2 linked regions of the Lepisosteus oculatus genome follow. The protein of the gene in region 1 interacts with the protein of each later gene in a pairwise test. Links are inferred from orthologs where the notes say so. Each region holds a gene or a part of one and is shown in the gene's direction. Other genes may lie near its edges.

Region 1 (7,721 bases):
GTTTGAGTGCTCATTGTGTGGAAACAGCACAGGAAAGTGGTCAGTTAAAGAGCGATCCTTCTGACTGAACCCTAACCGGCACCTTCCTGTGGTGCTGACAAGTTACATGCGGTAACTGGAGAGGCTGTTTAAGATCTTGACATAGTTCCAGCCTAGCAGGGAAGATTCCTCCTGCACCGAAGGGCGACTTGTCTGTGTTTCCCCAGGGTTAGGTTTCGAAAAGAAGAGCTAAAACATGCATAAAGATTTTGAAAACCTATTAATCAAGTTAATATCACTGTGCTACAAAGACTTTGCAGTGCCCTCACTTGAAATCAGCCCAGTCCATTGGCAGCTCTGTCTTGCTGCTGCCTCTGTAGGGCTGTGCTCGTGTAGAGAGAATAATAACTGCTTTATGTGAGGCAAACTGTCCTAGATAGCATGTAGAGTTATTTTTAGCGGATGGGTGACCTTGCAGCCTGCTGGTTCTATCTTAGAGAGGATAATAAACTGGTAACAAGAGGAATGCTAAACAATGCACTCTTGTTGGTGCACATTGGCACTCACTTTGATGCACGATACCACCCTCGCTGGTGCACATTAGCATCCTGAAGTGCCACTGACTGTTGTGCCCCTCATGCCTTGGCACGTATCCACTGCACTGCTGTAATGAGCGGTGTGGGTCTATGTGTGCCCCTCTAGAAACCATACATTCTACTTAGTAAATTGCAAGGGCATACGTATTGCAGATTAACTACCGGATTCTGCAGCCTTCTAATTTTATTTCCATTAACTTTTAGAGTTTCAATGTGCCATACAGTAGCACACACGTTACACACATAACAAGTAAAAACACAGGTAGGATGGATTAAAACACTCCTCTTTAGGGAAGTGAAGCTGAGCTGCATCAGGAAAACTCCTGTCAGTTCCTGGCAGGCAGCTCTTACTGCTCTGGGCTCAACAGTGAGGGGTGGAGATACCCCAGCCAGTGCAGCAGTGTGTGAAAGTGTAGGAGCTTGGGGGATCTGCACGTAGCAGCTGGGATTTGAACTGCCATGAACCGATGGAGTTCACAGAGTAGCAGCTGATGGTGAGTGAGGAGAGAGAGAGAGATGCCCCACCCCCCACCCCCCCTGCTGGAAACCAGTGCATTCTTCGGGGATAGCAAACTGTAATGTTGCATTGCCACTGTTTAAGTCACTTTGATCTTAATGGAAACTGCTGTAACACACACGGGCTGTGCTGTCTTGCAGGATCATTCAGCGCATGCATGATCCCACTATGTTTTAACACTGTTCTGGAACTGCCCTTCGCCTCTACTGCTTCACAGCTTGAGTGCCCCAGTCAGCAGATCTCTAGGTCTGGAGGGGGTGGGTGTGACTCCTCAGGCTGGACTTGTTCCCAGGTGTGAAGACATTTAGGATTTCGTGCCAGACTGGAGGATTGTAGACGCAGAGAAACTCTGCCCTGACTGTGCAAATAAAAACTGACCTTGTGCCTGTCATTGTAACAGTCTGTAGAAAATAAAACTGATGCATCAATCAACAGCTGTGATCTTCAAAACCAGTGCCTGGCTATTCACTCTCAGTGCTGAAGCAGGTTGGTGCTCCTCCCCCTGGACACTAGTGAGATGCACCTTGATCCCTCTGCCCCCTGCCCCAGAGCCAACCAGCAAACACAACCACCTCGCAGATCATCTCCCCCTGTGCTGGTCAACACTAGTGTTGTGTAACACTTAATTGCCATTTTAGATAAACCTGTATAAATGTTTCTTTTCATTTCACCTTTGTGGAACAGGGTGCCCTGAGTGAGCCGATATTCCCCACACCCCCCAGAGCTGTGGGTAGTTTTCCTCTTTTTCAGGATCTAAAACATCAAAGCGTTGAGCTTCAAAATATTTCTCTTCCAGTTCTTTTTGTACGATTTCCTCTCAGCAGGCCTTTTGTTAGATATTTCAAAGCACTGAGGTGAATGTTTACTCTTAGCAATATCGTAACCTTAGCAATTTTTTCATTTAGCGCCCTGTTGCCCACAGTGCCTACTTGTAAGAACAACTGCTTCTCCTGCAGCTTTACTGCAGCGCATCCACTAGCTCCTGGTACTTACTGCCCAGAACAAAGCACCGTCCTGTCAGGACTACGGATCGGTAGTTACTTGCGTGACTGTTAGCACAATGCCGGCTTCAGAAGGATTGCATGTAGATTCAAATCCGGCCGGATGAACTCTATAAACATTGAGCCTCAAGCTGACTTCCTTCCTTTGTGTTCACGTCTTTGTTAAAGCATCTTGTTATCTTTCTCTTTGAACTCTGCATGGCTGGGCTCCTGACTAGGCAGCATGAGACTTGTAAGTGCGCAGCGAGGGCTGAGTCCCGAGGACTGTGGGGACAAACTCCACAACCAAAGTGACCAAACAGAAAAGCAAATCTGAGGGATAGAGACAGAATAATAGTAGTTATAGAGCACCAAACCTCGACTGGGTCACCCGAGTTCTGCTACAGGTCTTTACAGTAAATCTTCTCCACTGGACAAACGTGACCCTGAGTCTTGCATCTTGGAGTCCAGCTCTGTCCTTGTCTGCAGGAGATCAAACACAGGAGCATGAGAACCAGCCCTGTGGCCACCTGTCACCTTACAGCAATGCAGGGACATGCCTGCTCTGCTGGGCCGGCCTCTTCTTCTGAGAGGGGTCAGAGGGAGACAGTGGTTGTGTGGAGCACAAAGTCACTCGCCGGCCGAGGGGAAAGCAGCACACCTGTTCCCCAGAGTGCCTCGGGAGGGGCGTTAGAGCAGATACAGGCTCAGGGACACCATGTCATCAGCACCTGGACACGGCTTGATCTGCTGGTTCTGCTTGATCTCCACCGCAGCCATGTGGAACCTGCCCTGACACCCATTTGGTGATTTGTAGTTGTTGTAGTGAATGTATATGCTTTGGCCACACTGTAACTCACCAGTCAAGCCAAAGCAGTTTGCACAAAATCAATAGAAATGAAAAAGATTAAGGCCTTAGGCGAATAAGGGCCCATTTGAATATATTTCCGATTAGCAGTTGGGTGCAGCGCCTGACTACAGTAACTAGAAGGTTCTTATTTCTAAAGCCCTCGACACCTTGCCCAGGTGTCCTTGTGGTAGCCACACCCCCCTGGAGACAAGGCAACCAGACTATTCCGCAGTTGCCATGGTGAAGGGCTGTTACTAAGTGACAGGGCCTGGGTCCCCTGTGACTTCCAGCCATGAGGGAGGGGAGGGGGTGATTAGGCTTCAAGCAAGCAGAACCGTTTGCTGCCTGCGGATGGAATTACACATCTTTCTGTGTGCGGGACCTAGAATTATCTTCTAGGATAACTGCCCGAGTTCTCCAAACGGCTTGGTGTGTCGCGGTCTCCGGAACTGCCCGGGGGGACGTCACGGGCCGGCCCGGCTCTCGCAGCGCCCCTGCCCGCTGACCCAGCTGGGGGAACGGGGTGTCGCCGTGCGTAAGCAGCACTGCACCCCTGGACACGCGGCCGTGCGGAGAGAGCAGCCTGGGACAACGGCCGCCGGTGATGTAACAGCTGCCACGCCGCAGTTTCCTGTGGTATACCACAGTAATGTGTGTGCTGTCACAGTAAAATCAGGGTAAAAATAAAAATACTGAGCATATACCTGCACATTTCTTTAAAGGCTCCAGACGTGTGTTCAACACCACAGAGAAAATGCCAAAGCCGACGGAGGTGTAGTAAAAGGAACATGCGAACCCTCAGAAATCGTGTCGGGTGTACCCCAGCAGTCTCACAGAGGCAGTGGAAAAACCCCATCCTGGGAAATTGCTAATCAGACACCTGCCCCTTAACAGGGTGAGGAAACTGAACCAAGACATATTTTTTTATTGCATGCAAGATTATGAAAATAATGATCAGAACTAAAGCAGAGGACTGAATTTAGGGCGCAGTCAGGGAGCACAGTGTCTCTGGTCTCCACACTGGGGCACCGGTTTAGAAATTCTGGTCCAAAGCAACTTGACTTAGACCATTAACCTAGTCTTCAATGCCAGGCCATAGGAGCGCGGCTGCCTGCTAAATAAAACTGCCTGAAGGAAACTGTTCATCTGGAGAATGATTGTCACAGTTGGTTCTTACAGAGACTGGAGTCGGTAAGTTCTGCAACGGCTTTAATTTGCAATATTTTAAATTTTAAAAAATTTTTTGCATTCCCTAATTCTCCGTGATGAAATACTCTCATGTAACCCTGTAACAGTCAGTTAGTGACACCTCGTATATAAAAAAAAAGTCTGCCTAATGAATAAATTAAATACATTAACACGGCAAGCGCAGCTGCACCTTCTAGAAAAAGATACGGTATGTTATACAAGCTTGGGCCATTACGTCACCTTCACACGGACCAATGAGAAGGCGCGGCGTTCCGGGGCAAGGGGCTCTGATTGGCCAGGGGAGGGGAGGAATGACGTCAGGAGAAGACGGCCCCACCCCCTGTGACCTAGAGCCCGAGCCGGGTGCTGCGCGTGGGGAGGAGAGTGCAGGGCTTTGCAGACACGCCGCTGTCGCGGGTGGGTGTGGGAGTCGGCCCTCTGGCTTTTAACCTGTGAAAGCGCCGAGACGGAATTCCGACCGGATTCATCCCGTGTTCGAAGTTAATAATGATGCGGTGAGTAATACAGTGTAACTCAATCCGTTTATTTCCTTCGCTATTTACGCTTTTATTTTTTTCTATTTGCGTGCAACGTCCTTCCTCCTGGCTAGATTTTTTTGTGTCGTTCGCTGCCAAAAGACGGCGGCCGGAGTTGAGCGATGTTCCCCTGTGGTCGGCGAAGAGAGACGTGCGCTTTGCGCTGCCGCTTCTCCTCTCGTTCTGCCGCCGAGAAGCGATTAACTTTCACCTTTGTCGGCGGATCCAGTCCCGTTATCTGTCTCTGCCCGTCTGCCCGCCGGGCTGGCCAGTAAGAAGCCCCATGCCCGCGGTGAAATGGTAGACGTTTGTTCGAAATAAAACCGTGCTCGGAATCACATCCGCCTCCGTGAGCCCACTGAAGGTCTTCTGAATGTTACAGCTCGCGTGGAGAGGCGTGTTTGTGTGCAACGAGACCCCCGGCCGGGCCCGCGCGGCTCGGGAGTGGGGGGCGCTCTGCGCGGCGTGGGCCGGAGCCGGTCAGGAGCCGGCCGGGGGGGCCGCCGTCTTGCTGGCGACTCCGCCATCGTGCCAGTTCAGCACGCAGGTCTGGTGGGTCGGCAGGGCTGACGAGGCGCCGGCCTTTGTGTCTGCCTGCTGCTCCGGGAGAAGTGTCCACGGAGGAGCGGTCGCCCTCACTGACCCGTGCTGTTACGACACGCACCGACAGCCCCACGATGGCCGGCTCGGAGCTGCCCCCTTAATCTCCGAGTGTCGAGTTGTGTCTATCAGCCCTGTGACCCGGTCACGTCCTGTAGCCTGCCGTATGAAACGTGAGCGTCGAGGAGAAACTCCCCCGTGTTTGGGTTTTTTTTTTGCAGTAGTAAAAGGGCTTCAGGGGGAGGGAGCTGAAAGAGCTGTAGGCCGCTGTCACCTGTGCACGGTCTTCCCCTGCCTGGGCTTCAGACCCAGAGCAGCTGGTGTGTACATCTCTCCCGAGCCCGGCGAGTCTGCCCCGTCCAGGCCCACCTCAGAGCACCCCCTGGACCGCAGAGCTGCTCTGAAGAGAGATCTGGGTCATTGGTGTATCACTTTTTTTTTTGTGCTTTGGACTTTGAAAAGGCTTTTTGTTCTTGGCGGGCCTGGCAGAGGTCTCAGGTCTCACCCTGAGAACCGGGGGGCAGGTTCAGAGCTGTGGTTTGTTCTTACCCACTGGAGGAGTTTTATCTGCCCCTACTGCTCTGCAGCACTTCTCGGGAATGGAAGGATCGCATGCAGGATGGTGAGCAGGCTGTGGATGGGGCAGACGTGCTGCCCTGAGGAGCTGGGCTCTGGCTGTGCGTGTCGGAGAGGGAATCGGGATACAGGACGGCCGCCCCTCGGCTGTTCCCCAGATCCCTCTGTTGCCTCGAGCTGAGCCTTCAGCCTTCCCGACAGCCCAGCTCAATCTCGGCTCGCCGGGCGGCTCCGTGATGAACTCTGGAGGCGCGGCGCTGTTGTGCTTTCACTCTGAACTTTGTGCCGAGTCACAGTTACTCGGCATGTGTGGGCACGTGCAGGGAAGAGGGTGTGTGTGTGTCATGTAACCGAGAGGCTGGGAGGGACTCCTGCCCACAGACTGGGGGTCGCTGGGGATGCCCTCGGCCGCTGCCCCCTGCCTCACAGGCCCGCCCTCTTTCCCAGGTGACCCTGGGGGGCGTGGTGTGCGCAGTGCAGGAGAGGGGGTGTTGAACTCCAGATGATGTCATGGCTTGTCCCCCCCGCCTGGCCTGGTGCGTGGCAGAAGCCCTGGGCCTCGGTTCGACAGGCTCCAGCCCTGTGCCCGGTTCACGGTGCCGGCACTGGTGCGGGGTGCCCCCTGGGAAGGTGTCTCTCCTGCGCGCGAGTCTCGGAGCTCTGTGTCTGCGTCGGTGAGGGCCGTGTGCTGACCCACTGCGTCTCGGTTCTGTTCCAGACCCTCGGCAGAGACGGCGGCCCTCCTGGACGGCCACGTTGTCCCCTCTGAAGTGCTCCCTGTGGTCATCATCGGTAAGACGGGGCCAGTGCACCTTCCTAGCCTCACCTGTGCTACGCAGTCCAGCTCCCACCTGTCTCTCCCCTGAGACCTCGCCGCTCAGGTGTCCTTGCTTTGTGTAGTGGGATTCCTTTAGAATAGACCAGTTTTGGAAACTTCTGGACTGAAATGGGATAGAGTATCCTGGTATCTGTGGAGGCTCTATACATCAGTTTAAATTATGTGCCAATTGATCCCATGCATAAAATCTTTACAGCAATTAAAAGCTTTCTTTGTGAAGTAGATCAACTTGAGGTTTTGAGCTGTTTTGCGCTGGCATTGTGGCTGCTGTGTTCTGGGCTTCTTTCACACTGCCTCTCTTTTGCTTTTGTTTATTGCTGGAGGCAGGTTTACATTCCACTGGCGCAGAACCAAAGAATTTGTTTAGCCGAGATGCGATAAGTATCTTGTTGAGAGAAATTCTTCCTGGGGAAGGAGCTGGTACACAGCTTCAGTTGTGCACAAAGCTGATTAGCTATGCAGATTTGGCAAAACACTTCATTCGGATTCTGTGCCACGGCCCTGTCTCGGGGAAGAAGACTGTCCCAGTTCTGCTGGGCTGAGAGACTGTCCCACGTACGCGGCCTTAACTCCCCTGTGTCTCTCCTACATGTGTGTTACAGGGAACGGCCCATCGGGGATCTGTCTGTCATACCTGCTGTCGGGGTACACTCCATATTTGGCTCCTGGGGGGATGCACCCCAACTCCTTCTTGCTGAGGAAGCTGGAGGAGCGGCCTGAGCTGTCGTTGCTGGACCAGGTGAGGACGGGGCGTCGCCGATCTCTCTCTCGCACCCCCTGCCCCCCGGATCTGCCCTGGAGGGGCAGTGTTTCTACCCCCGCCTCACCAGGGTTTATTCCCATGCGTCACTTCAAAATGTCACTTGGATCTTTCAGAGCCTTTACACACCTTGGCCCCTCTCATTGCTCCCTGTGAGCCCAGCAGGGCTCTGCCCCGGGGCTGAGCACCTTCTGATGGGGGTACGAGAGTCTCGGGGTGCTCGCTTGGAGCCGCCTCGCTCCCTGCTGCACTGAGACAGGGGGACTCTTTTCCGCACTCGAACTTATGTGTTTGATTAACG
Region 2 (7,808 bases), on another chromosome or scaffold:
TTGGCATGACCCAAGCTTTTAGTTCTTAAAAAGCAGCACTTCCCAAGTCTACACTTAAAGAAGAGGGTCTGATAGTGGTCCTTTTAGACTGTGCATCTGTAACCTTAAGATCCTTATGCACCCCAGAACCCTGTGGGCGCTCTTGATCACCCACTCCTGTAAACAAAAATATGTTAGAGACAATAGCGGTCTTGTTGTACATTTCAGAAGCCCTATTGTGCTTCTTTAAATAGACACTCCTGCACACATTAACACAATCGTCATGCCTGCTCTCCGTCATTATGTCTAGAACCAGGTTTGTCGTCAGCTGCTGTTACAAATTACCGAATGGACTAGTAAATATTTATAATTGCAATCACACACTACTGGAAAGCAAAGCAGGCAGCTGTCTTTCAAAGGACTGACTCATCCCTGCAAGTAGCTGTCTCACACTGACTTCCAAGATCAAACGGGAAATCAGAAACTCTCTGCCAAAGAAAAAAGCTGATCTTGTAAAAAAAGAACAGTATGCATCCAATTTGCCAGTATCTTATCTATTAAGAATCTCCAAACCACTACATTCTCAAGTTTTCAAGTTTCAAGTTTCAAGTTTATTGTCATTACACTTATATACATAGTTTATGGTATAACGAAATGCTATTTAGGTAGCTCTCGGACATAAGTAGTACAAAGAGAAAAAACAACAACAACAACAACAATACAATTGTGTAGCAAAATAAAGACAGAGACAACAGCCAGTGTGCAAAAAACAACAACAGACGATGTGCAAAAAACCAACAACAGGCAATGTGCAAAAAACAACAGGCAATGTGCAAAACAACAAAAAGGTAACAGGTTATGTGCAAAAATGTCTGCATGTTTACTTACATTCAAACTGTTTGCATGTTTACTTACATTCAGACTGTCTGCATGTTTACTTGCACATTGTCTATTGTTTGTTTGTACATTGTCTTGATGCACTCTTTGCACTTTGTTTTGTTTTTTACACTTGTTTTACAAACGAGAGACTTTCTGTAAGTAAGAATTCCATTGTACCAGTACCGGTTACATATGGCAATAAAGTTCAAGTTCAAGTTCAAGTTCATATGCATCAACAGAATAAAATAAAGGGATAGAAATTATGGGGAGTGAGCTTTTGACATGTATGGTAGAGGAAGATTTTCAATGTGTGTTTGGGTTTTTGGTAAGAAAGAAAGGAAGGAAGAAGGCACTGTGAGGTTCAGATCATAGGTGAGAGGTGAGGTGAGAGTGAGAGAGGCTGGGAATTTAACAGTTTGATAGTGCGGGGGTAAAAACTGTCTCTGAGTCTGGTAGTCCGGGCCCGAATGCTCAGGTACCGTTTTCCAGATGGTAGCAGATCATAAAGTCTGTAGCTGGGGTGTGTGGGGTCTTTGATTATGCTTAGAGCTTTCCTCAAGCACCGTCTGTCATAAATGTCCTGGATAGATGGGAGGGTAACCCCAGTGATGGACTGGGCAGTTTTCACCACCCGCTGTAGGGCTTTGCGGTCAGCAGCACTGCAGTTGCCATACCACACTGTGATGCAGCCTGTCAGTGTGCTTTCTGTAGTGCATCTGTTGCGCTTTCTTGATCGGACAGGTGGTGTTGAGAGACCATGTGAGGTCCTCGGTGATATGGACACCAAGGAATTTAAAGTTACTGACCCTTTCCATTTCAGTCCCGTTGATGTGGATAGGGGCATGTCCGGTTTGCAGTTTCCTGAAATCAACAATCAGCTTCTTGGTTTTGCTGACGTTGAGGGTGAGGTTGTTGTCATCACACCATGTTGTAAGGAGATTGACCTCCTCCCTGTAGGCCTCCCTGTAGGCTTATTAATTGAATAAGAGGAAAGAATAAGAATTCTTTCTTCTTATTCAATTTTGAAGCAGCTTAATTCCTATCTGAAAGTGTGTGGGCCAAGGCAGGGAGTTACTGTAGGGGTGTAGGTGGGGTGGCAGGAGAAGTAAGAGATGTGTGACGTATATCCATTGGCAAACCTAAGAGTGCAAGATTTTCTTCCTCCCGATTTTCTGTTACAAACTCCATTAAAAAAAAGCTAATGAAAGGAAAAAACTTCAAATTAATGTGCCCTTCCACTCACCTTTTATCCTTGTAAATACACTTTGTTGGTACAGGCATATAGCACTGCCGTAGTATACTGTAAACTAACAAAGCACGGCACTTGTGCCAGAGTTATTTCTCTACACATGACTCTAGGCAGTAGGTAGAAAACAACTGCACCCAGTGAAGAGAAAATGAAAAGTATTTTTTTTAGAATAAACTGGTTTATTCCCAATTTATGGGTTGGTTCACCTCCTCCTCTCCAGCTCCCTGCTGGTCCCCATGGCAAGTCACTAAGGCAGAGAGATGAAAGGCCAAACACAGTAAGCTAAGCATCATAAAACATGCATTTAATTAAACTTCAGTTTCTTGCTTGATATGTATTAAGAAGATGCTTTCCCTGCTCTCTTTAAAGCTATCCAAATGCAAAATGAGATACCTTTAGTAAGCTGCATGGTAGTCAGACAGCACAAAATAAATCAGCTTACTGTTTTGTCTCAAATGTTCCAAGTATAACCTCACCATTAACCTATTAAATGATTGATGTTTAATTCCCTTTAAGCATTTTTGTGTTATCTTTCAGTACTTGTTGGCTTCCATTATTCCTGCACAAAAAAATAAAACTAAAAAAATAAAAGAGATGTCACTGATCTCTCTAATGGGGAAAAGAGGTGTGTGTGAGAGCTCTTTCCTCCAGGCGTTGAAAAAATAGAAATTGGAAACGAACAGGGTTCCAGGTATGGTAAGAGAATAACTCCACACTGGGGATGTGTTTGGAGCTGAACAGGTATTTAGCAGTGTCCTGGCTTTCTGGTTAAAGTCTGCACTAAAAAGGAGTAAATGTGAAAATTAAAACAAATAAATCATCTCATTAATATATTGATAAATATTTTTTTCAAAGTGCAGTCTTTTCCCCCCTCACTTGATTAAATATAATACACCATACGTGCTCAATGTACAATTTATCAATGTTATGTGTGGACTGCCTCTTTTCACATATTATCATATATAACTTACAGCATTTCAAAGTAGCTTTCTATGCTTTAAAAAAACATTTCCCTCAGAAGACAATAAGACAGATGATTTGCAAAAAAGTCTCTTAAGTGGCTCTTACATTAACTTCTGGAGAAAGCCTGACCACAGTGCTTGAAGAATCATGCGAAATGGAGTCTGTCAAGAAACAAAAGGAAAGAATAATCCAAGATCATCTCTTACCCACAGCTCTTAACAGCAGCTAAAAAATAAGACCTGGTTATCTTTGACTATTTTCCTTGGAAAGAGTTCAATTATCTAAGAGTCTGTAGTGTTGCAAAATCGCATCTTCTGGTATGAAGGAGGACTTTGGGTCAGAAGAGGTGAAGGTAGAATCTAGTTCAGATTCCAAGATTACGTTTTCCACTGTTTCATGATTGAAACATAGTGAGCTATTGGGGAGTGTGCTATAAAACAACATTTTTTAAAAAATTGAACCGCCCATTGTTTTCTTTACATAATGTGTAATCTAAATGTTAATCAACTTACCTTCCTGCCACCCCACTTGAACCAACAGTAATGACTATGCACACTTTTCCTAGGACCATGTTCTTCCTGGTGCAGGGAATGAACACTACAGTTCCTATAGGAGTGGAAACACACGGAAAATACTCCTAGAAGCGATCAACTTCAACGGAGAGCAGATGTAACCCAACTATTGGACCTTGATTAATTCCAGCACATTCATGCTCATTGGTCAATGTAGAAAGCAGTCAGATTTACTCAGAAAAAAAACATTTAAGAAAATGAAAAATCACTCAGCCAAAGGGTTAACAGAAGAGACAATCTATTTTTCAAACTCCGTGGTGGGGCAGCCAGCAGCCCTGAAATCCCCTCTAAATGACCTGATTCCAATTAATTTCCTCAGAACTGGGCTTAGAGGCTGTAGATACAGCATTTTTTTCCAACGCTAATTTTCTTTTCCTTGTTATCCTTGCAGCGTTAATGAAAGGAAGAGTCTTACAGCGGCTTAGTTCAAGGGGAGGGCGAGGTCTGGAGTTTGCTTGGAGATAAAGCCCATGACCTTGGTTATAAAAATTGACTGCCTCGTTTAACACATCCCAGCTGCTGCAGCGGCAGGTTGGCAGCAGTATGAGAGGAATGTGCGGAGTCCGGGAGCAAGTTGCAGCACTCCCCAAGAGGAGGGGGGCTGAAGAAGCAGAGTGTGTGGAGTGTTTTTCTCCTGACAGAGCGGAGCGAGGAGGAGGCAGAGCTGCCCCCCCCCCGCCCTTCCCCTTCTTGATTGGTGAAGAGCACGTCTCAAGGTGTGTCTTCTGCCCACTGGGATCCTACAGCCACTGCGGCTGCTGGGAGGCTTTCCCTTGACAGCCAGTCAGTCTCCACGACACAAATTCAGAGGGTCCGATGGACTAACGTGGGGAATTTACTGAACACTGTGCACTTATGAAGTTCTTTGTATTGTTTCTTGTTTCATACAGACTTTGCTGGAAAGGGAAAGAAAGAGGCAAACACTAAACTTCTTTCGCAACAAACAGGGTAAGTTTTCTTCATCCTATCATACTATGTCTCTTTTTCAAATTTGCGAGTTTGCATGACCATTTCTAATCCAGAACCAACCTGCTGCCTAAATTGTGCTGTATACCTTAGTTTATAGGAGCAGCAGTAAAAAAGCAAATTCCAGCAGATTTCTAGTCAATATAAGATTATTCATGAAGGTTTCAGTGCTTTCCTATAGATAAACAATTTAACACACAAAGCAAAACTGTTTATGATAAACTGACAGTGTGGTTGATTACATTCCTGCTGCACTTGTCTTAAACTAGCTGTAAAGAATTGGGGTGTATTTATTTCACACAACCACTTTGCGAGCTTCATCTTAAGGCAACACCAGGATGCAGAGGGGAGGTTCAAGTATAATCTGCAAGCCATGGACCATAATTAGTAAATGTGACATTCAGTTTACCACTGTTCCAATCACGATATGAAAAAGAACTGCTCCATGAGGTCTTTAAACATACTCAATGAAAATACAGTAGAATATTTTCCTATTAACTACAGCAGAGGCATCTTCTCTTGGAGAAAGCTGAGGCTTACCCTTCTCTTTCACCTGCTCCTACAGTACCTGCAATTGCTACTTATGAGCCCCAGTGGCATCCACGATCTGAGAAGCCGAGCAGTGGTATCACTTGCAGTGATTGGCAATGTTGGCAGTGCCCACATCTGTGATCTCGAAACAGGACCAACGCCTCAATTATGTTGTGCTATGCACCCTCCGTGTGGTGCATAAGAGTTTGCAGGAGCCACTACTTTTCCAGGGATTCCCGTGCTTTTGGATTACAAATAGCAGGGTTGCAAGTTTCTTTCTGCAACCATAAACACAAGAATTCCTGCGTGTGCGGTGAAGTAATTAACGTTTTGGGCACAGTTTTTTAGTATGAGGCAGGGACCTGAGCACTTACTCTATTAACGAGTCACATGGCTGCACTTCACCATGTGCCTTTAATGTGGTTTTTTTCATCACTCACACATGGAGAGGGCTGCAAGCCTGGTGGCATGCTTCAAAGCAAGACAGGATGTATTTCACAAAAGCCAAGGAGACTTCATTTTCATTCTCTGTGGTCTTGGATATACTTAGTATAGATGTACTCTTTTCTAGAGAAAACCTGAAAATGAAGATATTTCGCACTATGTGACGTTTTAAGCTTTGTGGGATTCTTATCAGAGTAGCTAATCAAACTGCTGTGTGATTTTCTAGTTGTTCAGAGTGTCATGGCGCAACTGAACAAGATAAGGAATTTTAAAAGATGACAAGTGATTTCAAAAAGTCATGCTTGATTATTACTTGTTTAACAAAGAAAGCATCCTCATTAGAACCCTGCACTCAAATCTTATGGAAATCTGAATTAAGTTGTTTGGTCAAACCCTAATTAAGGAGGATAAGTGGTATCTAGATTTCTGTTGGGGTTACTCCCCTGGCTGAGGTTAACAACAACCTATCAGTTGGAACCTCTTCCTTCTTTAATGAGGAATAAGACAGGGAGCTGCTTCAGGGGTAAAGATGGGATGTAGGAAGGGTTGAGAAAAGTGAGTGAGTAGAGAAAAAGCATGATGCTTATAAACAGGTAGAAGTGTCACGATATTAGTTCCCCCTCCTTAAGGGTGCTCCAGCCCTATCACTCTAGACTTTATTCCATGCACCTGCGCCCTATTCCCTGCCTACCTTAAAAGCCAGGCGCTGACGCTCTTCCGGGCTCTGCATCTGATTTCCATATCGTGCGAGTCCGGGACCAGGAAGCGCCTGGTCCCGTTAAGGTTTTAACCCCTGTTCCTTGTCCCCTGTCCGCCGGTTCCGACCCGGCCTTCGTGGTTTTTAATTCCGTGTTCTGATGGATCTTCTGGTTTTGGACTTACCTTCGTGTTTTGGATACTCTATGGATTACTCTCGGATTGTTCGCCTCGGCCATACCTCCCCCGTGCACCAGCGCACTTTGGACACGCCCCCTTGTCTTCAGCCCCGTTTTCCTGCATGACGTTTCCCTAGTGTTTCCCCACTCCGTCGGACTGTGTCGTCCGCATAGGGTCCGGAAAGAACTGTTCGTTACAAGAAGTGGGTGAGATTAGGGTTTGACCTTCTCCTGAGTGAAGTGTTCATCTGCAATTGCATCAAAGGGACTGGAAATCCAAAAGGCAAACATCATATATACTGACATGCTATCAGAGATGTTCGACAATGGGATGAAAATTTGTCAAATTTTGAATTAGAAAAAAAAGGCACAGTGCTTGGACAGCTGTTCAATGCATGCAGCTGTTGCTGCTTTGTTATGTGAATTCAGGATGTTGTAATGAATACAAGAAGAAAACAGTAAAAAAGTAAAATGTAATAAGCGATACAAGTTTTATTGACACAACACCCTCAAAGACATTCAAAATTGTCTTAACAAACATTGATTTTACATTTCAATTCTAGTATAACTTTTCAGAATTATAAAGTATAAACTATCACTATCCAGGATAACAATAACTACTCAAAAACTCATTAGAATCCTGCACTCAAATCTTTTGGAACATTGTAGAAGATTGAATGAAGTAGAAGATTGTTTTAAGTAACATATTAGCCTAAATGCATGAAGTTGTTTGAAACTGTCTTGAAAACATTAACGCTAGAATTCCATTAAACATCCTATTTTCCATTAAGCAATCAATAGGACACTTTAAGTATAAATTACAGCCATAGGTAACTCTGGAAGAAACCATTTTAATGCATCTTGCCCTGATTTAGATGGGACATTTGGGTTCTCTGTTTCTTTAGGATGTACAAACAGAAACACATTTTTCAACTCATGCAGTTTTAATAACACAGTGAGCCTCTACTTGTTCTGCTTAAGCTATATTCAACAGGCTCAGTGCCAAGGGGAATTCGAGTTAATTCAAAATCATAGTGATTTTGAGAGGAAATTTGCAAGATATCTTTCTTTGATTCCCTTCCTTGGAGAAAATCATGAAATTTCTGTAATTACAGAATGAAAAATTCTTCTCTAGTTTCCAAAGCTACTCAGTTTCATTATTTAGTGCCATTTCTGGCTCACATATGGCATAATGTCTGAATCACAAATGTCATAATTGAATAGACTTTTTTTAATCTGCATGCTTACTATTAAAATATGTTTTCTGTTTAACAGTGCTTAAATCACTAGAATATTAAAAACCTTCTATAACGTGTATGCATAGCAGCAATGTAAAGCCTGGTGAAAACC

What was found. The genes of interacting proteins can lie anywhere in the genome.
Region 2: the proteins of osgn1 (region 1) and bcar3 interact in binary tests that used the Homo sapiens proteins (3 or more experiments, as listed by UniProt). The link is inferred for Lepisosteus oculatus from reciprocal best matches to the Homo sapiens genes OSGIN1 and BCAR3.

What each region holds. Positions count from the first base shown.
Region 1 is NC_090711.1:1,158,936-1,166,656, forward strand, and holds the start of osgn1 (oxidative stress induced growth inhibitor 1), read left to right. Parts: upstream 1-4,442; 5' UTR 4,443-4,617; coding exon 4,618-4,625; intron 4,626-6,540; coding exon 6,541-6,614; intron 6,615-7,262; coding exon 7,263-7,399; intron 7,400-7,721. UniProt on the Homo sapiens protein: Monooxygenase catalytic activity. Involved in regulation of cytokinesis; promotes RHOA activity, probably acting locally at the midbody in late cytokinesis.
Region 2 is NC_090704.1:27,726,464-27,734,271, forward strand, and holds the start of bcar3 (breast cancer anti-estrogen resistance protein 3), read left to right. Parts: upstream 1-4,341; 5' UTR 4,342-4,358; intron 4,359-4,532; 5' UTR 4,533-4,590; intron 4,591-7,808. UniProt on the Homo sapiens protein: Acts as an adapter protein downstream of several growth factor receptors to promote cell proliferation, migration, and redistribution of actin fibers.